Linked DNA regions of Arabidopsis thaliana. The protein of the gene in region 1 interacts with the protein of each later gene in a pairwise test. Each region holds a gene or a part of one and is shown in the gene's direction. Other genes may lie near its edges.

Evidence for each region. The genes of interacting proteins can lie anywhere in the genome.
Region 2: the proteins of SHH2 (region 1) and EML2 interact in a two-hybrid assay, tested with the Arabidopsis thaliana proteins (one large-scale study listed by BioGRID).

Annotation. Positions count from the first base shown.
Region 1 is NC_003074.8:6,310,167-6,314,935, reverse strand, and holds SHH2 (DNA-BINDING TRANSCRIPTION FACTOR 2), read left to right. Parts: upstream 1-1,529; 5' UTR 1,530-1,754; coding exon 1,755-1,808; intron 1,809-2,160; coding exon 2,161-2,246; intron 2,247-2,342; coding exon 2,343-2,388; intron 2,389-2,487; coding exon 2,488-2,689; intron 2,690-2,854; coding exon 2,855-2,930; intron 2,931-3,046; coding exon 3,047-3,098; intron 3,099-3,181; coding exon 3,182-3,325; intron 3,326-3,409; coding exon 3,410-3,529; intron 3,530-3,664; coding exon 3,665-3,934; 3' UTR 3,935-4,217; downstream 4,218-4,769. Other genes in the region: EMB1865 (CRS1 / YhbY (CRM) domain-containing protein), read right to left, coding at 1-39, 444-1,364; ATSYTF (C2 domain-containing protein), read right to left, coding at 4,680-4,769.
Region 2 is NC_003076.8:2,093,387-2,099,102, reverse strand, and holds EML2 (Emsy N Terminus (ENT)/ plant Tudor-like domains-containing protein), read left to right. Parts: upstream 1-1,863; 5' UTR 1,864-2,291; intron 2,292-2,692; 5' UTR 2,693-2,725; coding exon 2,726-2,833; intron 2,834-2,901; coding exon 2,902-3,011; intron 3,012-3,105; coding exon 3,106-3,214; intron 3,215-3,326; coding exon 3,327-3,485; intron 3,486-4,011; coding exon 4,012-4,080; intron 4,081-4,285; coding exon 4,286-4,513; intron 4,514-4,590; coding exon 4,591-4,659; intron 4,660-4,756; coding exon 4,757-4,820; intron 4,821-4,909; coding exon 4,910-4,956; 3' UTR 4,957-5,215; downstream 5,216-5,716. Other genes in the region: AT5G06790 (cotton fiber protein), read left to right, coding at 386-1,015. UniProt on the Arabidopsis thaliana protein: Probably involved in the regulation of chromatin states. Contributes to RPP7-mediated and basal immunity, especially against Hyaloperonospora arabidopsidis isolate Hiks1. Regulates negatively EDM2-dependent floral transition.

The DNA of each region.
Region 1 (4,769 bases):
ACTTCCGGCCCTCCATATCACCATTCCACCAGTTCGACGCTGCCCATTAGAGTAATTCAATCAGTTTTTTTTTAAACCTAAAGTTAAGACATGCATCTCCTGCACAGTCTTGTTACTCAAAGAATTCTAACAGCATGCTCAGCTCCATCCACTCTAGTTAATCAACACCTCAAATTCACCTTATTCACAACTATATAATCGTTCCCAAGAAAGATCTAACGTTTTTCACAAATTTCCTACTGTTATTATAAAAGCTTTATAACCATTCTATTTCAGAGCTTAGGTACTTCAGAGTCTCTTACTATCCTATAAAGATCATGTCACTTCCGCAAAGCTTATCCCCAATAGATAATGAAAACCGCTCTCTCTTGGAATAATCTCGCACCTCAAATTTCGCTAACCTACTGTTCTAATCAATGAAGTATTCAAGAGAACTAACGAACCTCAACAATCTCATGGGCCGTCTTCATGTCACGAGCAAGCACTTCGTGGAACTTTAGCCTCACAAGCTCTTCTTTCCTCCAAGTATCATAAATCTTCTCCATCACTGCCTGCGTTAGCCCAGCTTTTGGTATATTGATCCTAACCCTCAGATACATTCCATCCCTCCTTAACCGCCGTAACTCAGAATCCTCAACGGTGAGCTCCGCCAGTGATGGAGCTCTAGCTCTCCTCTTCTGCATCACCGCCACTCCTCCTTCTCCTACTACTCTCTCCGCCGCCTGCTCTTCCTCATTTTTCTCCCATGGCAATAATACCTCATCCTCTTCCTCACTCTCTTCTCCCTCAGCAAGCATCATATCAGGTCTCACCCACTCTCTCTTCAACAAATCCCCCAATCTCTCTTCTCCAGTCACCGGCTTCACATCTCCGCCGTTAATTCCACCTCCCTCGTCATCTTCCACATCGTCCTCATCATCCGAACCTAATCCTAAATTCCGTAGCCGAAGAACAATCCTCTCAATCGCGTTTTGTCCTTTATCCTTCTCCAAATACCGAAGTTTCGCTTCCGCTTCCTCCTCCGCAGACCGAATTCTATCTCCGCCGTTGTTTTCACCACCTTTCTTCCCGGCATGATCACCGCCAGCTCCGGAGGATGACGGAGGCCACTTATCTATCCAAGGAGGAGTAGGTTTATGATTACGTTGATCTAATCGACGATTGTTATTGCTCCTGTTGTTGCTACGCTCGCTTGTACGCAGCGAAGAGAATGGCCGAACAATTTGTTGACGCGAGGGTTTCACACCCAACGAATAGAAGAGCAATGCGTGAAGCGAAGGAGAGGAACAATAGCGAGAGCTAGAGGTCAGAGGAAGAGAGCTTCTCAGTGGCATTTCCGTAAAATTAAGTGGAGCCAAAGCCATTGACGACACTAAGAAATTTTTTTGGAAAAAAAAGCTTCAGCGAAGTGTCTTCTTCGCCATCGTTTTGGATACTGAGAAATAAGTTTCAGGCGGATAAGCTGGATTTACTCGACCATACGGATAAGATTTTTGTATCGGTTTTAGGAAAATGGGCCTTTAATGGGTTTTAAAAGCCCATTACTACATGTTAAGTTTAAAAAAATTACACAGGTGAAAAGTTATATAAGCGACGGAGTCGGGTCTGAGTAAAACCGGTTTCGTTGTCGTTGGGTCACCGGCCGTACTAGAGAGATTCACCGTGAATTCGAATATTAAGTGAGAGAAGCTCCGATTGATTTCACTTTCTGCCGCCAATTTTTGTTTTTTCTTCGGTGAGACGAAGAAGATACCATGGGTCGACCTCCCAGTAATGGCGGTCCGGCGTTTCGATTTATCCTGCCTGAGGTTTATCTCGATTCTTTGTAATGTGTTGCTTTCACGGATTTTGAGCTCCCAGAGCTGAAAAATCTGATTTTTGTGTCGGTTTTGTTCCTTAGGATTTAGGTCTTCTTTTTGGGTTCATGATAGGGTTTAGATCCTGAAGTCCAATTGAATTTTTGTAATTAGCTAGTAGAAACTTGAAGACAATTCGATGTATGTTCTGAAATCCATTGGCTTTACTTTATTAAGTAATGTTTAAGAGTTTAGATTTGATAATACATAAGTTTTTCTATCTATCTGTTGTTCTATGGTTTTGTGACTTCTTTTGAAGAGGTTTTATCTTGTTTGTTATAGCTAATCTTCAATTGTTATGAAGGTAACGGAGATGGAAGCAATTTTGCTACAGCATAATACAGCAATGCCAGGTCGACATATTCTTGAAGCTCTTGCTGATAAGTTTAGGTATTTTACTTGTTGTTGCTCAATTCCTTGGCCTGAAAGTGATTTTGTGTCTTTATCATCTAAAATGTGGTTACTTTTTGTTATCTGTTGTCTCAGTGAATCACCTGAGCGGAAGGGGAAAGTTGTTGTGCAGTTCAAGCAAGTACTGGCTTTTTCCTTCTTGATTCTTAAGTTTTATCAGACAGAGTCTGTTGGGTTTGCTTTTAAAAGTTAATGGGAATGTTGTTTTAATGCATCACAGATCTGGAACTGGTTTCAAAATAGGCGATATGCTTTACGAGCAAGGGGAAACAAAGCTCCTGGGAAGCTAAATGTATCTTCCATGCCGCGTATGGATTTACCAAATCAGATGAGAAGTGTGATTCAACCATTATCAGTTCCTAAAACCACTCATATGACTGGAAATTTACCCGGCATGACGCCTGCCCCTTCTGGTAGTTTAGGTGCTTTATTTATTCTACTCTCAGTAAAATAGGTTGAGAAGGTTATTTATTGGAATAGGTTTCATTGGTTTTTTCAGTTTTAGTTTTTTCTCCATAAGTCTAGATCAGTATGGCTGATATTGCACAGATGCCATTTTCGTAACTGTTTACTGCTTTTCCTCATAGTTCCCGGTGTCATGAGGAGTGGTTCAGACAACTCTTACTTGGAATTTGAAGCCAAATCTGCCAGGGATGGTGCATGGTGATTCCCTTGCATTCAATCTTCAGTATTTTTTTTGCTGACTTATGATACTTTGTAACAATATCATTACATTCCACTGGTTTTCTCTGATATGTAACTCTCTTGCTTACTTACAGGTATGATGTGCAAGCTTTCCTAGCTCATAGAAACTTGGAGATTGGTGATCCGGTAATTCCTAACCAACCTCTTGTTGACTTATTTGTTCCCCTTTTTTGTTTTGCTAACAACAATCTTTCTGTTGGGTATTTCAGGAAGTGCAGGTTCGATTTGCGGGTTTCGAAGTTGAAGAAGATGAATGGATAAATGTCAAAAAGCATGTAAGACAACGGTCTCTCCCATGTGAAGCATCAGAATGTGTTGCAGTTCTTGCTGGAGATCTCGTCCTTTGTTTCCAGGTTTAGAACTTCGCTCTCTAAGCATTTAGTGATAGGTGTCATGTTAGTTTATCCCTGACTAGAACTATGTTATAACATCTTCAGGAAGGAAAAGATCAAGCTCTTTACTTTGACGCCATTGTTCTTGACGCACAGAGAAGAAGACATGATGTCAGAGGTTGTCGTTGTAGGTTCTTGGTGCGTTACAGCCACGACCAGTCCGAGGTTGGACGATCATCTCTCTCTCTCTCTCTCTATCCCTTGCGGTTTTATTTACCCGTCAGCTCCATTTCATGGTTTAGACCATAAAGCAAAACCCTCCTCACTCACCTATTTTGGATTTCTTTTCCGTTATCCCAGCAGGAAATCGTTCCCTTGAGGAAGATTTGTCGGCGGCCCGAGACAGATTACAGGCTACAACAACTTCACAACGCCGTAAACGATTTGGCTAACTCAAATCAGCATCAGATACCCGCTCTAGATGCGGCTGCAAAAACCCCTCTGTCACTACCCGGAGCTACAGTTCCCATTGTTGCACCCGAGTCAAAAGATCCGAGCCTGAGTGCCACTCCAGCCACTTTGGTTCAGCCTAGCTCCAATGCAGCTACTGTTCCCGCTGGTTCAGCCTAGGCCATGTAATTTCTATCCCCGTTTGTAACAGCCATTTTTCACAGTTACTAGTAGAGGTTAACTTGGGATCATATGCATTGTACTCTCACACAATGAATTAGTCATCTAAAGCTGTATCATGCCATGTTACTTGATCCTTCATGTATGATGGAATATTTATGGTTTAGTCCGGTTTATTCATCATCTGTTGATGGTCACCGGTTTTTTACTCTTTTGAACAAACATGCTCGAATCATGTGGATTTATTCTTTTCAAGGCTTAAGTTTACAAGTTAGGAATCTTACCTCGAGTCATTTAGCTTTACAACATTTGTGGGGATGAGAAATTAACCAATTATTAATCTGAAAAATATCTCACTGTGCTGAGGAGACTAGATAACACTTGAGGTCAAAAGAACTATTTTGCTTCTGTAAATGACTGATCAGCCTAGACACAGAACAACAGTTTTACAAACAATTACAACAGTTTTTATTGTTACAGAATAACAAAGGGAATAATAAGAAACTTACAGATTTGATATGTTACATATCATATGTATCTAACTTTGTAACAAGGGCTCAACTCTCTCTGAACATTTTATCCAATGCCCCTACATATCTATCTATATACATCATAGATGATTGTTTGATCGGGAAAAACAAGTGACTACATTGGTGCGGGTAATCTCCGGTTATAGGAGGATCCTGTCCCCGAACCCGAGCCTGATCGAGATGGGGAATGAGACGGGGCTTGAACTGGGGACGAGTTAAGAATCTCGAGACGGGGCTTGAGCTGGGGATGAGTTAAGAATCTCCTTACCAAGGTCTTTGATCTTGTTGATAAGCAGCGATTGCTC
Region 2 (5,716 bases), on another chromosome or scaffold:
CAATCTATTCAGTGGTAATATTATAGCTATTGATTGACAGAAATTAGCAAAGATGTGAAAATTGTAGTTGAAATAAAGAGAGTACAGACTACAGAGAAGCAATGATCAGTGTCAGTTACTTGAATCTAAAGTCACTTCTTCTTTCTTTCTTTCAAATCTGAGATTTTCCTAGTATTCGTTAAACACGTCAGATCAAGTGGGCTCACACACACCACCCCGACCACAATTAAACTCTCCAAAGTAGAGTGGCAATGGCATCCCTTTAAATAGTCCAAAAGTATAAGGATATTTCAGTCAAACCCTTCTTCATAATATTTGATGTTCAACTAGAAATAAGCCTTTCCCAACCAAAGATTTAATTTGTAACAAGAGAAAGAGAGAGAGAATGGCAATGCCACTCAAATCAACATCTTCTTCTATGTCTTCTTCTCAATGTTCATCTTCTTCTTCACCAACCTCAAGCTCCATGAAACTCAAATCCCTAATACAAACTCTCATCATTTCTCAAGTTTGTCGGCTACTCCGAGAAATATCTAGAGTTTCATCCATTCTTGTTAGAGTCTTGAGAAAGAAGCAATACAATTTCTTGTCAGTGTCTTCTTTACTCTATCCAAAGAGAGTCTCAAAGAAACAAAAGAATAATATATTATTCGGCTCCTTCAGACTTCACTACAACTTTTGCTCCTCTCACGTAGTGCCTGTCTCTGCGCCAGTGCGTCTCCCGGAAGAGCTCTACTTAGCTCATCTCGTACACGAATCGACTTGGGAGTCAATGTACTCCACTGAATCCATGGATGGTCGCGATGATGATGATCAAGAACCATCTCAGCTCTCTAGCTATCTAAGACAGCTAGAGGATAAAGTTAAAGACGGCCAAGAAGAGGAGACAGAGACGATGATGAATGAGATTGATAAATTGGCTGATAGGTTTATAGCAAATTGCCATGAGAAGTTCATGTTGGAGAAAGTTGATTCATATAGGAGATCCCAAGGAACCCTGAATAGAAGCGGTTGATAACGATGATGATGGGGCCTAATTTGTATCTTTCATTTCTTTTTATGTGATTTCACTTTTTCCTTCTTTTCTTCTTTTGAAACTCCTCACATGCATAGTTTGAATTATCTGAAAATGTGTATTGGAAGCATAGGGATATATGGATTGTGTGGTGTTTGTTGTGTTACAGTCTAATGATGATGATATTGATGGTGGTGGTTTATAAACTAGAATAGACGACAGTCCAAAAAGGAGAAGAGAGGATACAAATGGAATGGATTTTTGTAACTTTGGCTTTTGTGGTTTATGACGTTCTTTTGCTACTATCTTCTGATATTGTTGTTTTCTTTTGGTTGTATACAACGGGACCAATTTCGATTTTCAGTTTACTTATCTGACTTTTCTAAGATCCATCAGAAATAAAATATTTCCTTAAATAACATCATTATGCAAAAAATTAAGATAGTGTAACCTTAAAAATGCTAGACAACATATAAAACAAGTTATATTTAAAATATCAAAATGTTGATAAAATTTATAAAGTGTAAATTTTAATTTTCAAAATCTCAGTTTTTCCTAAATTATATAATTGTATTAACTAAAACTACATTAATTTAAAATTATTTATTAACTTTATGTAATATCAATTAAAAATAATATTCATATATAGTTTAAGCTTATGCATAATGGAGCTTATATATAGATAATTTTATTTTTTATGATATATAAAAAATTTAAACATTAAATTAACAAGCCTGATTCTAAACAATTTTAGCATAAAAACCAACTTTTATTTATTATAAATACAAGTCTTAGTTTAGACTTTAGAGACTCCAGTAGAGGTGCCTTAAAAAAAACATACATTTCATATTTTCATTAACAGTTTGGGCCAAACAGGCCTATGTTATCATAAAATAGGCCCAAAATGAAATTAAACAAAAACGCATCGTCTTGTCTTAAGCTGCTTCCGACCAAACTAAGGTTTCTCTCTCCTCCAACTTGGAACTTCCCGTCTTCGATCTTCTCTTCTCTCTCTCTTCATCGCACGCTGTGCCCAGCCAGCTCAAAACACTGCACTTCCGCTTTTTATCAAGATCAATCTCTACCAATACTTAGAAAAGTTCTTTCCTTTTTGTCAAATTCTTTCAATTTCTCTCTTCAATTCCCTACGAATTACTCACTTCGGATCCAATCAGCTCTTTATAGCCTCTGCGTTTGGGAGTCAATCTTTCTCTCTTCGACAATTAAGGGTTTCGTATAAAGATTGCTGTTTTACGACAGGATTCTGAATAAGGAGGTATAATTTCTGTTTTGTACTTAGTTTGAGCGATTTAAGACATTTCTCTTTTGTCCATTGAGAGATCTAACAGTTCTAGGGTTTGAAATATCACTGGAGTTTAAAAAAAAGGGTTTTACTAAATTATTCTCTTTCTTAGGGTTTAAGATATTCTTTTCACATTCTATTAGATTGTTTGATCATCTCATGTCTATTTTTTTTGCTGTCCGAATATTCGCTTAAACTAAAGTTATCCAATTTCTTGATACAATAAGTCCACCAATAAGCTCCTACATTCTCATGAGACCTCGACTGTCAAAATTATTCATGAATCTGATTAGTGCCAATGTTTTTCGTGAAGTACCTGAAAATTTAGTAGTTTGTTAAACTATTGATGTTATAAAGTGTTTTCTACATTTCAGAAGAAGGGTTGGTTTCATTTGGATGGAAAGTATATGGTAGGTCTACACATTAATATGGAAGCGCAGATTCATATACTTGAGCAGGAAGCTTATTCTGCTGTATTAAGAGCTTTTCAAGCACAGGCTGATGAATTTTCTTGGGTAAGTCCTCTTTCTTCCTTTTGCCATCAAAAGACAAAGGATTTGGCTTATATGGTTTCATTTTATAGGATAAAGCAACCGTGATGACAAACCTACGTAAAGAATTGAGGATATCTGATGATGAAAACCGACAACTGTTGAACAATGTCCATAATGATGATCTTATCAAAAGAATAAGGTAACGAGTCTGATCATTTGTGATAGTAAAGCTATGAATCTAGATTTCGTTGTATCTTGTAATAATGTGTTGTATGATGGAACTGGACCAACAGAGATTCGAGACCAAGAGGTGGAAACCAGGTTGTTAGACATCAGTCCCTCGATGTTCATCCTAGTCCGACTTTTTCAGCTTCTCGGAAGAAACAGAAGACGTTCCAATCCGTAAGACTTCTTGTTTTAATCTTTGGTCATAGAACAACAAGCAGAGGATATCTGTATTTGCATATGGTTTTCTGTTTATTTACTGATCATATCATTTGTGATACACATGCAGTATCCGTCGATTGGTTCTACTAGAAGTAAGTCATTCAATAACCGTGTAGTATCAGCAAATGAACCTGCGGAAGCTCTTATTGGAAGAAAAGTGTGGACAAAATGGCCTGAAGACAACAGCTTTTATGAAGCAGTAGTTACACAATACAATGCAAATGAGGTAACTTCTGATGGCTGAGACCTTTTTATTGAGATTGAATCAGAAATTCATATGTTCAGCATTATATATGTTTGTGTGTCGAGGTGTCTCCTGTACTTCGAATATCTGACTCCAAGGCCTCAAAGCCTGATCGAAATTTACCGTATAGTTCAGAGTTACTCTAGTGAGTGAGCATTGCAATTACTTTAGGTTGATTGTAACTGTGTAGAAAGCTAAGCAACTAGTCGAATCGCTTAGCTAGATAGCTCACTAGTTAAAAAGGAAGTTTAGGCAGAATGAGCCGGGGTACTCTGGATTAGTCTAGGATCATGGTTTAGGCATTTGTCGAAAGACTTCTCTAGTTAATCAAGTCTCTCTATAGTGTAGTTCTTGATGAATTGAAGAAAGGAGGTGTTTACTGTTAATGTGCATATGAGGCGTTGAAAAGTATACTATGACTTTGATATATCTAGAAGTTTGGAACTGTATTTAGCGTTGAACATAGCTTAAGTATATTGTAATTGATGCATTCATTGTTCTCTCGCAGGGTCGACATGCGTTGGTATATGATATAAACACAGTGAATGAGACATGGGAATGGGTTGATCTTAATGAGGTAATCTTCACGAGTTTTTGATATTATTAGGTTTTTAAGTTTTTTGTGGAAAATGCTGCCAAGAATGTCTTTTGGGTAAAGTTACATTTGTTTTTGGAGGTAGCTTTCATTAGTAAGATTACGTGGGAAACATTTGTATAGTGTATCCACCTAGTATGAAAACATTTTCAGCAGAATCTGAAGTTAGTTAGTTATATAATTGTAGATTCCAACGAAAGATATAAGATGGGATGGAGAGGAAGATGGGGTAACTTTGAATGTAGGACATGGCGGTGGAACAACTCGTGGGAATCGAAGGACCTTAAGCCATGGTGGTAGAGGGAGAGGTCCAAGAACTCAGCCAAGAAGAGAACATTTAGCAACGGAAAACGGTGGTGGGAGGAAGTTTTTCGGTGAGATTGAATTGTTCAACACAGACTCACTTGTGAAAGAGGTAGGTATCTCTATCTCTCTGCATTTTGTTTCTCTTTAGGCAAAAAGGGTTTTTGATGTCGAAATCTTTCGCATTAGGTCGAGAGAGTTTTTGATTCAAACCTTCCTGATCCACATGAGCTTGATAAGGCCAAGAAGCTACTCAAGGTGAGCGATATGATAATTGATAAGAACTTTGTGACGAGATATCGATTGAAAGAAACAGTGAAGTGAAACTTGGTGTTGTTGTTATTGGATGATATAGGAACATGAACAGGCGCTTATTGCTGCCATTGCAAGGCTTACGGATGCTTCTGATTACGAAAGCGGTAATAAATGTGAACAGCGGCCTTTGTTTATTTCTATTTGTCATGCACTAAGATCACTAACAACAACATAATTTGTGCTGGTGAACCAGATGGAGAAGAACCGTATTCGCATGAGCTTCCAATGCTGCTGGGGTGAGTATGTATGACACCATCACCCCTAGGAAAAATGACTAGCAATATTTCTTTTTCTTCTGTTTTGCTTTAAGGGATCCCAGAAAATGATTTTGTTCATATATGATGAACAATTAGTAGTATTCTTCTAATTTGTGGTTTCAGAATGTATGAAAATAATCGTTAGGAATTTTGTTTGTAAAAACACTATTTTTAAAAAAAAATTCTGAACTTGTGTGATCATCATCAGGCTTGCCATCAGGATCGTTAATAATTTACTTGCTCAAATCCCCAATTCCTGTCTAAACAATGTAAAAAGAATCGAACCAAGCATGTAAATATTGAGAAGAGGCTTTTGACCTTTGAGCATAACATTCAAAATCTGATTCAATTAGCAAGAATATAAGATGGAAAGTGAGATCAACATAAATCACCTGTCACTGAATCCTTCAATTTTAAAAATATTTCAATGGTTACTTTACTTCAATTTATTTTATTGTTTTAAAAAAATATATTCAATGGTTATAAGAACGGTTAACAATAAATTAGTATCAGGGTTATCGTCTTATCGACCCGATGTTAGAAATTTTTTATAATTTTTCTTTTGTTAAAATGACAATCTTAATTCTTAATGGCAATTATATGTTCAATCTTAATGGCAATCTTAAACCGATCGATTATTCAAATTATATGTTCCGTATTTTTTTTAGATTGAATGTTATTGATAGAGTTATCAGAAAAAAATACTACTTTTTAGTTTAAATTACTGTGATTATGATAAAAAA